Linked DNA regions of Drosophila melanogaster. Changing the gene in region 1 together with any one later gene gives a genetic interaction. Each region holds a gene or a part of one and is shown on either strand. Other genes may lie near its edges.

Region 1 (4,778 bases):
AATGCATTCTCCTCGGCAACTGCATTGCCAAACTCAGGGTCCACACACACACACACTCACACACCAGAGGAGGTACACCAATACACTCGCACTGCCAAACAGACAGTCTGGAGCTTTATGTATGTATATATACCATATCCATACCATATAGCTATGGCGAATGCCTTCTTCTTCGGGAGATGCAGTTTGACCGTTGGAGACCTGTTTTTATGTTTTTGGGCATTTATTCTGGATTTTCGCAAAATGTGTTTTTGTTTTTTTTTTTTTGTTTTATTTTGTTGTTTTATGCATTTTCGTTTGTATTGAATTGCATCTTCTGCTGCGCTGATCCTGCGCTGTTGCTGCTGCACTTCAGCAACAAGTGCATAATTTCAACCTCAAGCCCCTCGAGCTGGCCAAAAAACTTGCATCAAATGTGGTGCTAAATTTCACTGCGGTTCTCTCAGGTATTCTGCCATATCCCACTTGCAACGCCTTCAGTTACTTTTGCGTATTAGATTAAGACGCTCCCAAGGCAACCCGGTTTCCAGAAAGTCCCATTGCGTATCATATTATAGGGCGGGCAATGCCAAAAGCACGTGCTGCCTGCCATGCCATTGTCCGGCCCAGAAAACCGATCCTCCAGACGGCGGCCCAGTGTGATTTAGAAAAAACAGATACAGTTGCCAAACAAACAGAACGCGGAAACAAGCGATCCCATCCTGAGAATTTTGTAGATTGATATCGGGAGTGCACAGGAAGAAATCAATGTGTCTCAAGGGATAATCTTACTAGTCGGGTGTTTTAAATATAATTTCGAAGTTTAAGTTTTGTAAGCTTGGTAATTTAATATTTTAGGCATTGAAACTTTCTTAAGGAACTTTCACTTTTGCAGAAGCTACGAGTGCTTACAGAAATACTTAATACTTTGGGATGTTTTAGTTTTGACACCATTTAGTTTCGATGAGTTAGGCTCAAAATGTATTCAATCTCTTCATGCGGAAGTAACTACCTGGTTTCATAGCCGTTTTCTTTTCGTGTGGCTTAGTTCTCGCGCCACGTTCGCGGGGACTCGCAATCCAGTCACCGATTGACTTTAGGCTCCATTCAGGCCGATTGCGCAATAGCAATCGCGAATGCCAGACCCGGCTCCAAATGCTATTTTTAGCGCGGTCCGTTCTGCGGAACCCTGTGGGTCGCCCAACTGCATAACTGTCTGTGCTGCGGTGTGTGGCTCAAAACGCTTTGAAAAAAAAGGGTCAACGTATTCGGTTTCATAAGTAACAAACGGGCCAAATCGAAATCGATGATGATGGAAGAGCGGAACAGGACGGGTCATGGAGGAGGAGGGTCTTCTAAGGAAACAGTTTGTCATTTGGCAACAACAGGAAATTCCTTTCGGCAAACTCATCAGCCAAAGTAAACTGTGCGTCTCCGTTTTGGCGCGAGATTAATGACACTTGGACAGCGGCCCCGCCCCCACCAGCACCTCCGCCCACTTGGGAATTTGCATATGACAGCAGCAGAAGCAGCAGCAGCAGCCTCGTTGTTTGTTATGCAAGCAGTAAATTTTCAATAAATATACATAAGCCAACAAACAAATCAAATCAAACCGACAGTGGCTGTATCATCAGCAGCAGCATCGCAAGAGCAGACAGCTGGACTGCCTGCACAGGAAGAAAAAACATACTGAAAAGGGCACAAACGAAGCTAATGCTTTAAAAAAAAGGTCTCACTAAGTAAATATTTGAAATTCGATTCTCGTATCCATTGAAAAGATTTAACAAATGTATAGCAACTAATATTCACACAGCCGTCTGATGACTATGCATACATATTTAAGTATGTTCATACGTATGCGTCTGCTCGTCATATCGAGTGTGTTATTTTTTTCGGTGTGCCATTGTTTTTGTTGCCCTGGGCGGAGGCTCGTCCGATAAACACAGACGTATAGACACTCACTGACCACCGAGATCCGTAGGCTGTGACTGCTAAATGTTTGTTTTGCCAGCGTTCGAATGCCACGCGTTGCACATACGCAGTGTGGGCCGCATGAAAAAAGAAGAAAGAGAGAGCAAAGAAACGCCTCTTGACACTCGAATCTGTTTGTAGTTGATTCGCTTAGAAGAATCGCTCGACGGCCCATTAGCATTCGCCAGAAATGTCAAAAAGTAAACAGGAAATCTGCAGGATGGCCGGTAAAAAAAGCGCGCGCGCACTTCAAGTAATTTGCTTATGCTACGAGTTGTTGACTTTGCGCCACTCATCTTCCGATTCGGAATCAGAATCAGTATCGGAATCTGATTCTTATTCTGATTCTGATTCTGTTTCTGATGCTAAGGATAAGAATGAAGCTGCAAGCTGCGAGCTGCGAGACTCAGCAAACCGCAAATAAAAACAAATATCGGCTCACATGAAATCCGAGCTGTTATTGAGTCTTTCGATCGCCTTTTGTTGACAACTATGCAAGAATTTTGTTATTGTCTGAGATGGGCGAATGGTACGTGGAAAAATTTGTCTGCTGCGTCTGGGGTAAATGGAAATGAAACAAAATATCCAGATGATAGCTGCCCGTCTGGAGCGATGATTTCCTTTCACAAGGCTGCTCCAAACTTTGCTGAGTCCTAGTTATGAACTCACCTTTTTAACTATGCCTCGTTTTTGTTTTGAAAATCTATTTCGCACTTAGACGTGTTTGTTTGCCAATAAATTAGCAGCTAACATGCGGAGAGTATATATGACACTTTTAGGTATTACAAGAAATCAAGCTTGAAAACCGAAAAAAATAAAAACATTTTCAGCACAAAACGAAAAAATGAAAAGTTGCCGACCGGTGATCGCACTGTTGTCCACACTTATCGCTGAGCTTTCGAATTTCAAGACTTTCAGTCTGCACTTATTTACATTTCCACGATTTTCGTTCCTGTTCTCTGTTCTGGAACTACGAAACTGGACACAACACTAGTTTTCACTTGCTACTTTTTTTACTGAGGACCAGAGACGTGCGCTCCATCTGATGGTCGAATGCCGACTGAATTTTGAAAACCAAAGTTCTCATTTAGGTAAGAAAACAGCCAACAGTCTTACACCAATACTCATGCAAAGCGCCGCACGGTGGGGCAAAAGAAACGCTATGTGGATTGGATTATGGATTATGGATTAGTTTGCTTATTTTTAGAAATTCCTTTAGTTACAAATTTATACATTTAAAAAGAAATATTTACCTATACAGTTTAAAGAATGTTTATCATATTTTATGACATTTGTATCGTTTTATGTTTGATTTTGTATTATTAAAGGCAATAAAATATTTAAACCTGTTAAAGTTGTATGTAAAAACAAAAGTGTTAATTTACGAATTATGTAAAATCGTAACAAATGAAATATCTGAAGGAATTGGAAAATATATAGTTGTAACTATACTGTAACACTGTAAGTAAATACATCTCAAATTCGTTTTCCAATTTGTAATATTTAGTACCACTGTGCAAAGCGCTGCCGGCTGCTGTGCGATTGTGTGCGTGAGAGAAAGAGAGAGACATGTAAATTAATAGGAAAATAATAGGAAAATCGGCAAACCATAGTGATGGTGTTTTTAAATTTAAAAATAGGTATGTTGGACTTAAAAAATGTAACCCTACCTTTTTAAATATAAATCCCATAAATATAGTTTTACATAAATACAGGACATTTAGGTGATATATGTTCTTAGAAAAAGTAATATTTAAAAAATTAAGTAAAATAAGTATTTTAAAAATTTAATTTTGTTCTTTTTTGAATACTATAAATTTATTTTGTTTATAATAATTAATTTAAAAACTAAAATATATGAATTCAAATACTTATCTATGAAAGGAATATATTAGCCATAGTTCCAGAGCAATTGTTTGCAATAACATTTTGTAATACTTAACAACGTGCACAAATTATTTGTTTTATAAATATAGTTTGTAGAAGATTTTAGTTAAAGTTCTTCAGTGCAGCATAATGTGTTTTAATCGCTGCGACATGCTGCGCTTTTGTGCTTACGACCGCAACATGTTGCAAGTTGGAATTGAAGATTTCCTAAAAAATAAACTTAATAACTAGCAACGTAACATCCTTATCATGTAATCTTGTTTTCTTTGGAAATTATTAAATTATTTTGTTACTGCTTCTACTTAAACTAATAAGACGAATGTCTTGATTTTTAAGGAGTTCATTTTTTCTTTAAAATTTAATTTATTTAGATTGTAAACAAACATTTTGTGGTTACTGAGATGTTTTGAAATTTTAACGAACCAACGTCCAAGCAACTGCAACTGCAGGAGCAAAGGCTTAGTGCTCATTAAATGCAGCGAAATCATGCCTTGGCTATATAGAAAACATATCTTTATCTGCGGCCTTAACTGTCTATTGTTTAGCCAGAGCAAAGCGGCAGCTGAGGAAAACGATTTCTTTATGGTGCAAACAGCGTCATAATTTAGATCTAATTGTCAGATACTTGCTGCCAGCCAGAAACTGCCACAAAACTGCATGTCGCTGGGCCCAGCACAGCAGCCCCGTGGAAATGTGGCACTGAAAATGAAGACATTTGACGAGGGAGCCGCCGAGGCACTGGCTATTTGGGCAGCCAGACCAGGCGGAGGAGCAGTTGCACCAGTCCGATTTTTGCGTCAATTACGGCGCGGAGCGTTTTATTGGCCAATGGCGTGCTGGGCGCGTATTAAGCCCGCTCGCTGATAGTGGCCACCATTATCCACCTCCACCTTCGCCACTTGCCTTTCCTTTCCACTCCCTCACTTCCCTTACTAACCATC
Region 2 (8,005 bases), on another chromosome or scaffold:
TTGATATAAACAATCGGTATTCATATGTTTTGGTATGAAATTCGGTATTTCAATCGTGGCTCGTGGCTTTTCACGGTCTGCAAGCCAACCGAGACAGCTTTTCCGCCGTTTCTTTTGGTTGTTTTTGGCTGCTAGGTACTGGAAATGCTACTGCTGTATATATTATGTTATGTACTATTTATTTATACTACTTACTTTGTTGGTATACTCTTTCCCGGAATAATACATATAGTTATTTCCGGAGATTTTCGGGAGCCGAAAGTTAATACATACAGACAGAAGGGGCTTTAACAAGTCGATAGCACATAAAACCAGAATAACATGATATCGGCAAACTAAGGTTTATATACTCTTCCAATTAAAACAATGTCTTGGATAAAGTTTTTTAACCCGTGCCACTAACGTAGACGACCGATACATGCCAGTCAGTCCCCTTGTCCGTCGGTCCATCTTTATAAAAGTCAAAACCTATAAAACTATAGATATCAAAAAATTGAAGTTATCCGTCCAGATTCTAGTAACTCCTACGAGGCTTTTGCTTGTATCAAAACGTAAATTATTTATTTGTTATGTCTATGTACATGTATGTATATGATGAAAACAACCAACAACAAAATATTCGTATTCTATTTCTAGTTTGATGCAATCGTTTCGAAGGAAGTAAAAAGTAAATGTAGCCAATAATTGTAGGTATTCCGGTGAAGTTACGTATACATCCTCTTTGTTCTTTCTGTTAAATATTCTTCAGAGAGTACGGTTTACCCTTTTTTTGTTAACAAGTAAAGGATAAAGAAATATTATCTGCTGGGCTTTTCCTTATATCGATTTGCATAACTAAAATCAGCAAAATAATAGAATACTTACTCGAATTTCACATTTGGAAAGTATGTAACAACCAGAAGGAAGCGTTTCCAACCATATAAAGTGTGATCAGGATCAATAGCCGAATCGATCTGGCCTTGTCCGTATGTCCGTGTATCCGTGTGTCCGTCCGACCGTCTGTCCGACCGTCTGTTCGACCGTCCGTCTTTCCGAATGAACTCGAAATCTCATGTACTGTACGTAAACGTAAAAGCTTGAGATCAGCATACAGATTCAAGCGACATAGACGCAGCGCAAGTTTGTTGACAGATGTTGACACGACCACTCTAACGCCCACAAAGCGCACAAAACTGGCACGCCCACATTTTTGAACAATTTGTGGATAGTTTTTCATAATTTCATCTAACGCCCACAAACTGCACAAAACTGCCACGTCCACACTTTTGAAAAATGTTTTTATATTTTCTCATACATACTTTTTCATACAAGACTAATAATCTTGTAAATTTCTATCGATCTGCAAAAAACATTTTTGCCACGACCACTCAAAGCGCTAAAATCGACCAAAACTGCTACTCCCACGTTTATGAAAATGTATTGGATATTTTTCATAATTTTATTAGTCTTGTAAATTTCTATCGATTTGCCAAAAAACGCCCAATATAAAGCCCGCAAACCACGAATAACAGGTATAACAATTTTTTCCCATTTTATTTCCCCCTAATATCGATATCCCAGAAAAATGATGAAATTTTGCGTTCGCATTCGTACTAGCAAATGAATATAATATTAATATTTATATCTTGATTTGAATCTAACTGAATTGGACGTAAAGTTTTACAGATAAATCTGTTAATGTTTAGGCGCACATAGATCGACACAAGATCGACTGCTAATTTGGAATTTTGGGTAAACGATTCCATCTACGCTTAACAACATTTTTATTTATTAGTTACGATTACGATTTAAAAATGATTTAGGTTATTGAAATTCATCCATTTGAATCTGCCGACTTTTTAATCGTGAAAGGAAGCATATATCGATAGCATCGATATTCTTTCTAATTTGAATGGCAACAGATATTTCTGGTGCAAATATGGCAACGCTGAAATATTGTTATTTTCAAGAAAGCTTTTGAAAAGCTTAAAGTGTCATCTTAGTTTCACAAAGTATGCAATGTCATTTAGCAACCAACGGAGATACAAAATATTGTTTCCGTGCTAAAAGGAAAAGCATAATACATTTATAAATCGTGAAAATGTGATAGTGTCCCTAATATTTCTCGTGAAGAAATATATTTACTTAGTTGAAAATTTATTGTTTCTAAAAAGAAAAAGGTGATACATATTGTTACATACACTGATCATAAGCCTATACACATAACCACCTTCCTTCTTACATATGTACAAATTTTTTTGTTGAACGCATGCTTTTAATTCCTCTTCATCCCTTTCCGCTGCTAGGCTTCTAAGTAACCACCATTCAGGCGTAGGTCTTTTCATCTGGACACAGTCTGTGTGTCGCCTTGAGTTCTTCAGAAGGGACGGATGAGTCTGTCTGTCCGCTTCTGTTGGTGCATGGTATGAAGTATTTCTGGCGTAATAATAACTGTGCCATCCGAAGCTCGGCGTCAGGTTTAGACTAATTTTAATGTGTTGTACCCTTTCAAAGTGTATATTGATTTAAGTCAGTTTCTTGCAACGCAGTAAAGGAGACAATTACGACCACACGAAGAATATATGTTCATCTGTATGGCTAGCAGTAAGAGCCGTAACCGTCCGTCCGTTTCAACGCAAACTGGTTCAATTACTGGTTAATTATCAAGTAAACAAGTATTCGGAGAATATATCATTTAAGATTTGTATACCCGTATATATATTCCCTTACTCGTAGAATCAAAGGGTATACTATATACGTTAAAAAGTAAGTACCATGTAGAAGGGAGCATTGCCGAGCATACAAAGTATATACAGGGTGCGGCAGCATAATTTCCTTTTTCAGAACTCAATGAAAACTATTGTAGGCATCGGAAAAAATTTATTTTTTTTTATATTGTACGTACATGTCATATTTTTTGAAGATGAAATCTGATAGGTGACGTCCCCCATTCTCCATACATTGCGTAAACCGATTTCTGGCGTTTGTCGTGAGTCTTGTTAGCATGGCAGGTGTTATGATGGCAATTTCTTCTTGGATGTTGGTTTTCAAATCTTGTAGGGCTCTTGGACGGTTCACATAAACACGGGACTTCAAAAAACCCAATAGAAAAAAATCACAAGGGGACAGATCGTGCCGGCCATTCCAAATCGCCTCTAATTGAGATAAGGCGCTCTGGAAAGTGTTCCCTCAAAACAGCCATCGATGCTCTTGAAGTATGTGCTGTTGCACCGCCTTGTTGGAACCAATTTTTGTATATAAAAAACACTTTGGCCACAAAACGAGCGAAACGGTCACGCCCACATTTTCAAACAAATTTAAAACTTTTTCGTATCTTTTTGCACAATATTTATAAATATCCCTGAAAAATTATGAAACTTCGCATCGGGGAAGTCGACTATAGCTTTCTCCGGTGTTTTTAATTTATTTGCCAATTTGTAGCCTCCTCTCTTGTTTAGTGTCCATATTAATTTCCAGTTAGCTTACCACTTATCTAATCGAAAATTTGTATTTTGAACAGGCAGACGAAATGAACGACAGAAAGGAAAGGAAAGGAAAAAGATTTGCAATGATTAAAAAAATATTTACCAGAAAAATAAAATTGACAATACTTGTACCACGTTTCTAAGGGACAGTGCCTGTACTACACGCTTGCCATATATCAAAGATGCGATTTGCCTTCGATTCTAATCATTCGCAATCGGGGGCGCCATTCAAAGGCAGCAGGTGTTTCTTTAATTGTCAATGCATCTGCTGTCGCCAAGGATGCTGCGTTGTGGTTGTAAAGTGCTGTTGCTGCTTTAACTTAAACTGCTGCAACAGCCTTGGCTCCCGGAAGTCATTTCCACAACCCGCTGCAATGCGTAAAAAAGTTGCTGACCTCGAAGTCCTTAGAGTATCAAGGTTTGTGGCGGTTATTTTAGTGCTGGCTCGGTGGGTTACTGCGGTAGCGACACTCCTGACAAGCTGCATACTCCTAGACATATTTTCCGTGCCTGGCCAGTCTGGAGTTGCAGATAGAAGCCAAGCCAGCAGTAGGACAGTGCACGTCTCGGTTCCTACCACACCTAATGAAACTCCCAGTAGCACTTCGGAGACGAAGCTAAAGTTGCTTTATGGGTATACATCGTATGACATAAATAACGACCAACAGGTAAAGTCCAACAATTTATGTAGAGTGCTTTGTAAAAGTCGCAATCGTAAACGACAGCGAAGGAGGCGACGCCGACGCAATCACAGACGACGCAGGCACAGATATACTAAGCGACTTCATCATCTAATGCAAGATAATATGAGCGGCTTTGAGCAAAGACTTAATTTTAGCGATGCCAAATGCCAGTCTTTGGAGACAAATTACGGAACTAATTATGACTTAGTACAAGGAGGTAAACTATTTAGTCAGTCAGAGAGAAGCCTACTGGTGTCCCCTTTGAGGGAAATTGAAGCACCTTGGCCAGCGATTCATGGTTCAATGCGTAACTGTTCAAAGATTAAACGCAATAGAGCCAATCTTATTTGGCTTCTAATTGGACTCGTCTGGTTTGAAGTCAAACTTATAAATTGCAATGGGATCAGCAGTAGTAATTATTATGCTTCGAATTTGGAGAGTCACAAGGGCTGCACCTTGTGCCATGAAAGCGGAAAGCCCAACATATACACCGATAAAGGTCAGTTTTCAAAAAAATTTTTTACATACTGAATATAGGGTAATCTTTTAATATTCTTATTGAGACTAAAAAAAACTACATTGAGTTTGGCGTTATTAAGATAAAACAGATGTGAGTTGTTGTGAAATAAGCGGTTATCGTACTGTACCAAAACTATTGCAATGCAGAATTTTTTGTAAAATAAATTTAATTTGTAAGATTTTTGTGCTATTTTTAAGTAAAATAAAATCATTTTCAATGATTAAATTAAATATCTATTGACAAATGTTGTACCACTAGTAATGTAAATAATATTTAATACAAGGACCACCCGCAGTAAGCCTGGGATATTCATACCCCCTTAAAAGGGTAAATAACAAAAAATACAAAATATCTAGAACAAATTTTCATAGTCTGGGTGAGTTTTTATCTTAATATTGCAATTTGTTTATCTTAAGGATTGGAAAAATTTGCTTGCTACACGATTAATTTCGTACATATTTTTGAATTAAAACATTACGAGTCTTGAAAGGTATTCCTGTCTCGTCTAATTTTATTGTCATAAAATAAAAAAATTATATATTGTTCTTAACGTAAAAACGAAGGAAATGTCGCTCCAGTGACGTAAATATGTACAATACTAGTCAAACTCGGTATTGCAAAAAAAAACAGTAGAGGTCATAGGCGCTGGATTTCAGAAACTATAAATAGATTTGATTATTGATTTTATTTCTTTTCGAGATTTTTGTGAACCATAAAAATAAATCCAAATCTTAAAATAATAATGCTAGCAAGACAAAAAAATATTTTTAAAAAACGATAAAACTTGTGTGATATCGGGTAATGAAACTTTACTAAAAACATAAAAACACTCCATACAACAACAAAAATTTATATAATGAATTTTACATAACACTTTACAATTATCACATTCACACAGATAATCCACACACAGACTACAACATCTACAACAAATACCATTCCAACAATAATTTCAACAAAAAAACTAATCAACCCCATAACAACATTGCACCCAGCGATGAAGTTCGTTTGGAGTCAATAAAACGGCAAATTTTGACAAAGCTTGGTCTTAGCCACAAGCCTAATGTATCTCATCCTTTACCAAAGCAATTTATTTGGGAAACAATATATCGAGTCGATGGTGGACGAATGATACCAAACAATGCATTTGGGAGCAGTGGTAAGAATTTAGATCAGAAGACTATCAAGCTGAGGGCGTTTGCCTCGCCCGGATCACATTTGTTTAATGGCCGAGGTGGAAGGACCGATCAGAGAAGCGAACGGGATCCCAGTCATCATAAATATCGATCCCCGTTCGATTTCACTTTCAATATAAGTAAAAATAATGTATATGGGAAAGTATTGAGAAATCGTTCTTTAGAACGAATCGATAAAAAAAACTCATTCTTAAACGGATGGACAGAAAACCGTCAATTAAAAATAAACTCTCAAATTGCATCTATGCCTATAGAACTAAAGAGCCACCATAACAGTAGTCCTAAGGAGCTTAAAAGCGGAGCGGTCAGAAAAGTTAATGGCATCAACGGCACACAAATGAATGAGAATGCCTTAAAAAAATCTACATATCCTATAGATATAAATCATAGTATTGATAATAAAACCCATACTGGCAAAAATGGTGAGATGAGCCACAATGATTATGAATATTTTAACGATTACAGTGTTCAGACTCATGATAAAAACCGGTACCATGAAGGTCGCTCTAGCATTGGATATCAGCCAGCGATCCACAACATAGAATATGAAAATCAGAAAGGACATCACGAATCTTTTGCTGATGATCATGAAAATATTGATCATGAAGACTTCTTTGGAAATACGCAGGAAATAATTACATTTGCTGAAGAGGGTGAGTAGATTTTTATTCAACACAGGATTAAACGCTATCGTCGAGGGCAAATTAAAAAATAAGAGACGTCGAGTTCGCCGACTATCAGATACCTGTTACTATAAATAAGTAAATATAAATTTTATTTTATACCCGTTATAACTAGTGGGTACGCAAACGCGAAATTTCATAATTTTGCTGGGATATCGTTGGATATTACGGGGAAATAAAATGAGAAAAAAATTGTATAATTCTTTAATAGTGAGGGAGTGAGCCTCTTGGGCGTTTTGTTGGTGAAAGGATGTGCGTGATCACAGTGTTTTGGTATACCGGTGGAAATTAGCAAGACAAACAATAAAACAAAGAAAAATCTAAAAAAAATTTTCTAAAGTGTGGGCGTGGCAGTTTTTTGGCAAATCCATAAAATTTTAAAAGACTAATAAAATTATGAAAAAATATCCACAAATTTGTCAAAAAAAAAAAATTGTCGGCGGCATTTTTTGGGTCGTTAGAGTGGGCGTGGCAAAAAGTTTGTTGACAAATCGATAAAAAAAAATGTACAAGACTACAGACTAAAAATATGAGAAAATATCAAAACTTTTTCAAAAGTTTTCGGAGGTTTGTGGGAGTTGGCTCAACACACGTGCGATGCGTTTAGGTGTCTACAATCGGTATGCTTCTAGCTAGTATGCTTCTAACCTTCTAGCTTTTATAGTTCATGAGATCTAGACGTTCCATACAGACATGGCTAGATTGATTCGGCTATTGATCCTGATCAAGAATATATATACTATATATAGTCGGAAACGATTCTTCCTGCCTTTAACATACTTTACTATACTATACTATACTATATACTATAGTTACTATTATATATTATTATATTATAATATATATTAATATATAGTAATAGTAATATACAGTAATAAAAATAAGAAAGAGTGATCGTGCCCAAAAAACATTAGGCAAATCAGTAGAAACCGGCTTGTGGCGGTATGTATGGCATACCGATAGAAATTGGCAAAACAAATTATATAATGACTAAAAATAAAAACGCTTTCTTAAAAGTGTAAGCGTGGTAGCTTGTGAGAGTGCTTCTTCTCTGAAATTTTTAATTTTTTATCTGAACTTTCTAGATTTTACAGGCCCTGACATCGATACGATCGATATGGACAAAAACGAATATATTTAAATACGTTATATTAAAGTTGAAGTAGTTGAGGTTTTTTTAATGTCTACCAATATCCGCCATCTCTAACGCCTACAAAACGCTTAAGAGTACATTTTATATACAAAGCTTTGATTTTTAGTTAACTGTACAAAAATTGTAAACTTTACAATATATCTGTTTTTGAAGAAAAAAAACAATGCAATATATTTTTTTGTAATTCGCTCATATGACTGTGTGTAGTCTTCTTATTCATTGGCATAATATATTTTATTTTAAGGAACCCAATATCGACAATATCGAATACTCGAGTTTTCGGCCCAAAACCGCCGTGTTCCCAGC
Region 3 (7,709 bases), on another chromosome or scaffold:
GGTAATCCTTGTCCACCGAAATGATCTCCTCCATGTCGCTGACATCGCAGCCACCGCAGGTGATTTGGATGAGGTGGCTCAGCTCGTGGCCACTGATCCAGTGTTTGATGGGCCACTCAATGTCGATCTTCATCCACTCATCTGAAAGTATGCGAAAGGAAAGGCAGAGCGGTTAGTTGGGGGTTCCACAGAGCCATCTTCTCTTCTCCCAGAATCGTAGATCCCATCTTTCTTATCTGGTAACTGACCCCAGGAACTCACAACTGTGCTGGGTTGTGGCCAAAGTTCAGTTTTTGCACCCACGAATAATGCTTTGTCAAGTTATTCACCCACATGAATTTCAGATTCGAGCCGAGCTATCAAGCAGTGCTATCACGAATCTGCGCAATGATCTGTCTAATTGAAAACACAAACAAGCGGTTGTCAACGTTGGCACTTATCGGCGTTCTTTATAATTTTTATAATACCCATCTAGTATAGACATGTCACATATTTTGATTTGTCCCCCGAGGGTATTGAGGGTCAGTTTTGGCCGTTCCGCGGCTGCCGACCAAAGGTCCAAACGTGTGCGATTCTTTTCTGGGCATGATTACGCTCTGGGGGGATGAGTGTTTATGCTATACTAATGTATACTATGTGTACCCACCTTGCACATTCACCGACTGGATGGCTATGGTCTTGGCCGCCGACAAATACTTGGAGTCCTTCTGCTGATCCACCTCCACCTCGGAGACTACGATCGTCTGCTGGGCACTGGTGCTGTTCACCGATGCCGTGTCGGTGCGGTTCTGTTTGTTCTTGAAGAGCCACAGGACGGCGGTGCTCACGTCGAAGCCCTCGGCATCTGCGTCGTCTATCTTGAAGGTGAAGCACATGGACGGATTGGATTTTCCATCTCTCGCTCGGTTGCACTCGACCTCCTCTGTAAAAATAAAGGATAAAGGGTTGTGTTAGCAAAATCAGAATGGTAAAAGGATTCCCTTTGAAGTTAAGCTTCAATCTTTACTTTCTAGTGCTTAAATCTAGATTTGCTTACCTCTATTGAGCAGTATGAACTTCTTGCTAGTGCGAGCGTAGTAATCGTCCAGCTCCTTGTTCTTGGTGCTATCGTCCGGATGGGAGAGTGTCATCCCGTCGAAGATGGGCTTGGGCAGCTCCACGGCCGACACCTTGGGGCTCTCCTTGAGGCGCAGCTTCTCCAGGATCTGCTGCTTAACGAACTCGATGCGTAAGTGGGTCAGCTGCTCCTCGGTGATGTGCTCCACTTGGCGATTGCTCTCGCACTTGGGGCATCCTCCGGCGCTGGACTTCACCGAAATGGTGATGTTCCTCTCACCCAATGGGAGCTCTGGCTCTATGGGCGTTTCCGGCTGCTGATCTAGGTCCAGATCGAGATCGAGATCCTTCTCCTGATTCTGCTGGTCCTCGGCCATCAGTTCGTTGCGCACAAAGTCCAGCGGCGACAGATCATCAAAGTGATCATCGGAGGAGAGGGATGACTCCTCGGGGGCATCTCCGTACATGATAGGCAACTCCACGGGCGGGCTCACATGTCGGTGTGCCTTCTCCTCCTGCTCCATGAGGTGTTGCCACAGGCGGGGCACCTTTAGCTGCTCCGAATGGGAGCCGGGATGGTTGTAGCTGAGCTCCTGCTGCAGGAGGTGCTGCCTCTTGTGGATGACGTGGCGCCTCAGGCGGGCATAGTACTCCCGCTTGGTGATCGGTACATCGTCCTCCTCGCTGGTCGGATCCGGTTCCAGGTGTTTCAGCTGACGGGATCGTTGCTGCCGGATATGGTGTTGCTGCTGCAGCTGTTGCGAGGTGTGCTGCACATGGGGATGCGGCTGGTGCTTAGGATGCGGACGAAGGATGTCGCCACGGGAACTCGGATGGGAGCGGGCGTGCAGGCGATTGTATACGTTCCTGTTCTCCAGGGCCAGACACACCAGCAACACCAGGGCTATAAAGTACTTGGCCATTTCTGAATATGTACTTATGACTTCTCTTTTTTTTTAACTGTGAGATATTTTATATGTATCTTATGATCTTCTGGATCGCCTTTGGTTTCACTCTTGTTTTGTCGGCTGGGGCTGATTGCTATCTGTTTGGCAGCATTAAAACATCAATTTTTCCGGCTTTCAGGTTTACAAAACTCATAGAATTGCAGCTGGTTTCACTTATTGTTGCCGTTTTATAGCCTTGTTTAAGCACTTTTAAAACGTTTATGCGTTTTTTATGATTTTATATAACAACGACTTATACGCTTGAATGATGCATGTTCAATATTTTAAACTTTTCGTTAAGTTTCGTCTGCAAATAAGAAGAAATTTGTAACTTAGTTAATATTGTAAGCACATTCCGATTATTAATCAAATAAATTAAAACAGCTATGCCCTAAATTTTCTCATAAATATTTGCGAACGCGCTGCCCCAATTAAAATGCAATTTAATATGCCAGCGGATCAGGTGCATTTATCACTATCACTCACTAAGCCCGAAGTCTCGCTTAATTTTTGCACCAAATTGCATCATTTATTCCATATCGTTGAGCTCGAATTGGCAGGTGGCAAAGTGCAAATCGTTTTTTTGACATTAATTCCGGGAAGATTTAGTTTAGTTCAGTATTCAATTTCACATTATCACATGGGCTATTTGCCCCAAGTGCGACTCAAATCGAAAGCGTAGTTGCGCAGATCCGCTGATAAGCGGGCTCAATTAGATGGCAATTAGGTGGACGTGGACCCCACACGTACCGTGGTGAGCACACTCCGATTTGCTCCAATGGGATCTGAATCTGCTCAGCCGGATGAATCCGGCGGGGGTTGCGGCATTAACTTTGAACCCGGACACGAAACACGAGTGGCACGGGCCTTTAGCTATAGCTGGGATCGCGCGTCTATATAGTATTCCACTTGTGGTATGGTCTATGATATAGTATGGTGCTTCTTTCTCTTCCGACATGCGGCAGCGCAAACGAGTTGTGAATGAATGAAGCGGTTGGCTGATTAGTAGAACAATTTATGTGACGATCGCCGAGCGTTTGATTGATCGTTCCGCGAGCGCCAGCCGAACCGAACCGAACCGAACCGAAACAATCCGAACCACTCGAATCGCATCGTATCTGACGGATCGTTTCGTATCGGTTGCGGACTCGGATCCAAGCCGAGCGGTTCGGGTCTCGATTTATGACTATAGACCATGGTTATGGCTACATGGCGCTCTCTCTTTAGCCGAAGACAATTGGATATGCAAGTGGGGTGCAGCATTGCATCAGCTTCTTGAAAACGCCAAGCCACCGAATTGCATAAAATTCTTAATTGCAATTTTATTTTTAACCTCCCGCCACCCTGACAATGCCACGCCCCCAGTTGGCGGCGTCACTATCTGTTGGCATTTTTGGCACTCGCTTGGCCACAATGGGGCATTTTGATATCAAGTGAATTTATGATCGCTTCAAACCGAATCGAATCGAATCGAATCGAGTCGAGTGGCCCATTCATGCTAATTACCCCGCAGCGTTATCAAGCTTGACTTTGATGATCCGACTCGATTGTGTGTCAATCAATTAATAGTGAACACGTTGCTGATAAGGGGCGGTTTCCCACTTTTGGTCCACAAATCGGGAGCATGGAATATGTAGTGCGGCATTTAACCAATTAAGTACGCTTAGCATGCGATTCTGGGCAATCCTAATCGGATTCGGTTAATAGATGCGCATTTCAAATACATAGTGTGTCTGTTTTCCAATTTAAATGCGAATGGGAAATTCATGAGTATTTCGGTTGGGAATTTCATCAGCCAGAATTTCTGGTCTCGGCTAAATGTGAAGCAGTCGAGTAAGGTCAAGAAAAGTATTTTGAAGGCCGGCAGATCACGAGTTATATTATACCGCCTATTCGATTTAGCCTTAAATGCTGAACACGTGCCCGATTCGCTTGTCACGAACTGTGATTTTTCTGAACCCAATTAGATCATCGAGACGAATAGAAATGATCTATACTATACGGAGGAGAAGGTCCGTTTAATTGATAGAAATTTTGTAGGCCTCAGCGAATTCTGGCAACATTGTTGGTGCGGCTTAAGCAAAAGCAAATTAATAGGGGTTCTTGTTAGGAAATAATACAATAAACAACTATAAGTATTGCATACTCCCCAATTTCATATTAGATTATGACACCTTTGACTTGCACAATTAAGTTTAGTTTTACGTGTTCCCATAAGTTACATAAGGTATTACACTTTTCCAGTGGCCCTTTTCCAATTTAAATGACGTCCTGGCCTTCAGCATATGTCGCACCACTTATCAACTCATCGCATATTTTTCCACAACCTACGTAGATTGCCACGTTCCAAAATCTGCTCCATTTTGTTTTTTCCAACACAACCAACCTGACGTCGATTAAAGCGACTGGGGGCCACATAATGACGGATCAGATCGGATGGGATGGGATCTGATAGAATGGATGGGGATCGGATCAGGAAGCAGGGCTTGGATTGTAGCACACACGCGACATGTGACACGTTTTGTACGTACTCTTCGTTTTTGACGTAACTCGAGCTGTCCGCACTGCACTGGACTTAATGACTGACTTGACTGACCGACTTATCAAAGGCAGGAATCGAAGCCGAGGCGTGCGACTGCGATGTGATGGGGGCCCGCGGAAAAGGGGTGCCGCTGGGAAGGGGGACAGAAGTTGAAGAAGGTCATTTAACGCCCGGCAGTCATGGCTACGTCATCGAGCACGCCACCAGCGCGTGATCAGAAGCAAAAGCTGTAGTGAAGACTCCGCGGTTGCCATGTCGATGCAAATCGGAGCAAAAAACTGCTGTGCCTGTGAATGGGGAGTTGGGGGTCTGGCGATGCGTCGATTGGAGGTGCAAAGTACAGCCGCTTGATGGAGATGGCTTCTTGACTAAGCGACTCTGCTTGGGGGTTTTCCATGGGCCTGCCCGTATCATTTTCGCATTAATTACGGGGCAGCTGGGACTGGATGTGGGGCTGGGACTCGGACTTGGAGTGGGGCTATCGTAATTGCCGGCAATTATCACTTGCATTTCTTCTTCGCGCGCAGCAGTTGAATGCACTGCGACAAAAACACGGCTGCTTCCATCGGTTTTTGGCAATAAATCACGGCGATCACGCCGTTCTCGCCGATCAGCGGTTGGGAGCATGCCACGATCTGGACTTTGGAACCGCTCACGGAGATTGCCCCGATTGCCAGAAGCCAGAGGCCCGAAGCGTCGCAAATTAATCTGCCATAATACTTTTCTCGCCACACGCTCATCGGCGATGCTACCATAAATCAAGTGCAGGATTAAATAAGATCATCATTGGTAGCAACTAAATTTGGCCAATGACTCTCGACGTGGCCGAAATTCGCCAAGAGCTTTTGGAGGTTATGCGCCTGGGTTATAGGCTCGAAAACTATCAATCAATCAATCGGTGATAGATAGGCCTCTGATCGATAAACCATTCACTGCATGATTAGTTTTTAATTACGGCATGATATTCCAAAAGCGAAACTAGAAACTTCCCTGCGATTTGGTAATAACTGATATTGAGCATTAGACTGCTAAAAAAAATATACAATTTCTAGTATCCCATGTTGAGGCTGATTCCATAATTCACATTTTTGGCACTTTTATTTAAACTTCTTACACAATAAGCCCTTGTGTTATGTAACTCACCCAAATTAATAATCCATTGTCAAAATGCTTGAATAACTTAGCACATTGTTTGCAATCTTCTGCGAAAAGGGATGCTTATCAAATGTCCTTGAGTGATTCTACAATCGATTGTCCGTTTATTTGTTTTCGCAAATCACTTTCGCAAACTCATTATTGTTTTGAATTTCACCACTTGAACTTGATTTCCTCAAAATGACGAGCTGATATTTCGCTGAGCAAAAACAAATGTTTTGAAGAAACATAAAGTATTATTCGTTCACACCAAGTTTCATGTACGATTTGCACGATTTGAATAATTTTCGATCCGATCGTTGGGAACGTCTGCGTGTGAATAATTCGACGATGGGCGGCGCAGCGGCCACAAAAGCCTGGAGCGGTACGACTAACGGTATCTGTGGGGAGCGGTATGGGTGTGAGTATGGGCCTGGGTATGGGTATGGGTATGGGTATGGCCCACTCTTCGGGCGGCAGACAGTTGAGTTTCAGTTTGTTTGATAACAGACACGCCGCCGATCATTGGCGCACTCCGCTGCTCTGCGTTTTAAGCGATGCGCAATTCTACTTTGCTTCCAGCAAGTGCGACAGAGAGAGAGAGAGGGAGAGCAGGGAGAGCCACTGATAATGGGTGGCTTTCCCCCCTGGCCCACACAGCAGCGTTTTAGGTCCGGTTGGCTCCCATCCGATCGCCTCCTGCATCGAACACCCACGCCGCTCGAGGCTGGAGCATCGAACAAGTTCGCTGGCCGGCGCTACATGTTCGATGGCCGTTCGTGAGTTCGAGCTTGTTGGGAATGAGGATCGAGCCCCAGCATTCGTCACCCAAAAACGTGAGCTGACGTCGTGCCGGTGGGGTTTTATCGCTCGATCCAACCGGTCCAAAGTTCAGCGGCAGTCCAGTCCAGCGGATTGCCTTTGACTTTCCCTGATAGCCGACATTGCCTAATGGCGATTGGTTCTCACAGCCAAAGCGATACCATCGCTTTCTTTTGATGGCCCAATGTCTATTAATAAGCGGTACTAGCGAGAGGTATGACTAAAATTGACGTATAACCATGAATGCTAGAAGAAAGTACATATGTATCATCGAAGAATATGCAAACAATGTCGTGTAAAAGACTGAACAATTAGATGTAATATAACGAATGAACTAAGTATACTCAATTTCAGACTCCACCCTACGTATGCCTTCCTGTTTTTGTTTAGCTCTTGGCCAGCTAATCGCTTTCCTCTTGACCAATTTACGATGTGGCTTTTACGACGTTTGGGGTTTCTTGTTTTTAACTTGCTGGCTGCTTCAATTGATTACCATGTGTGATATCATAATTTTGAAGTTTTCACGCCCGTCGAGCATGGGTCTCTTGAGATTACCTCGGAGGACAATAGTATGTAAATGGCTAATATTAATTAAATGCTGGCTCTGATTGCGTATCGCTGTGTTTCACTTTCAAACCTCATGCCAATCGACTGATTAAGTCCGTTCCGAGTTTTGTTTACCTTGAGATTTCACAATAAAGCATTCACCTCAAATATAATGCGATGGAATCGCACAATATACCTTTCGTGATTTGTATACTCAGGATCGAGGCAAAATCTCACTCGAAACGTCTAATTTTTAAATGTGGCGCGCGTGCTGAAAAACACGTCACAATGCACGGCTTATCGTGGCCGGGCCTCTGGAATTTCAGTTTTTAATTAAAACAGTGTTTTGGTGTCATAATTAAGTCAACAATATATGATGCTTATACCCTTGATAGGGGTACTATGACTTTAGTTACACGTTTGAACTGCAAGCTTAAAGTTACCTTAAACATCTAAAGATTCATTCTAATATTTTCTGAACTATTCATCGCTTCATTTGATTATAAATGGCCTTATTCGTCTAGACTTTGGCCTTGCATTTGATCAGGAAAATTCTATGACTGTCTAGTGAGCATTTGATTCAAATTACAGATCAGGAAAGTAAAGTCTAAGAATGTGAACTCAAAAAATAGAGTTATTGAAACGATTTGAATCTATTTCTA

Evidence for each region.
Region 2: of Fs (region 1) and Actbeta, changing one suppresses a phenotype caused by changing the other (phenotypic suppression), as found in Drosophila melanogaster (one study listed by BioGRID).
Region 3: of Fs (region 1) and daw, changing one suppresses a phenotype caused by changing the other (phenotypic suppression), as found in Drosophila melanogaster (one study listed by BioGRID).

Annotation. Positions count from the first base shown.
Region 1 is NT_033778.4:15,238,578-15,243,355, forward strand, and holds the start of Fs (follistatin), read right to left. Parts: upstream 3,013-4,778; 5' UTR 2,620-3,012; intron 1,223-2,619; 5' UTR 992-1,222; intron 1-991.
Region 2 is NC_004353.4:1,078,768-1,086,772, reverse strand, and holds the start of Actbeta (Activin-beta), read left to right. Parts: upstream 1-1,976; 5' UTR 1,977-2,159; intron 2,160-3,499; 5' UTR 3,500-3,646; coding exon 3,647-4,646; intron 4,647-5,565; coding exon 5,566-6,516; intron 6,517-7,943; coding exon 7,944-8,005. UniProt on the Drosophila melanogaster protein: Controls several aspects of neuronal morphogenesis; essential for optic lobe development, EcR-B1 expression in larval brains, mushroom body remodeling, dorsal neuron morphogenesis and motoneuron axon guidance.
Region 3 is NT_033779.5:2,803,581-2,811,289, reverse strand, and holds the start of daw (dawdle), read right to left. Parts: upstream 6,030-7,709; 5' UTR 5,689-6,029; intron 2,969-5,688; exon of another isoform or gene 2,754-2,968; intron 2,311-2,753; 5' UTR 1,980-2,310; coding exon 1,037-1,979; intron 923-1,036; coding exon 647-922; intron 142-646; coding exon 1-141.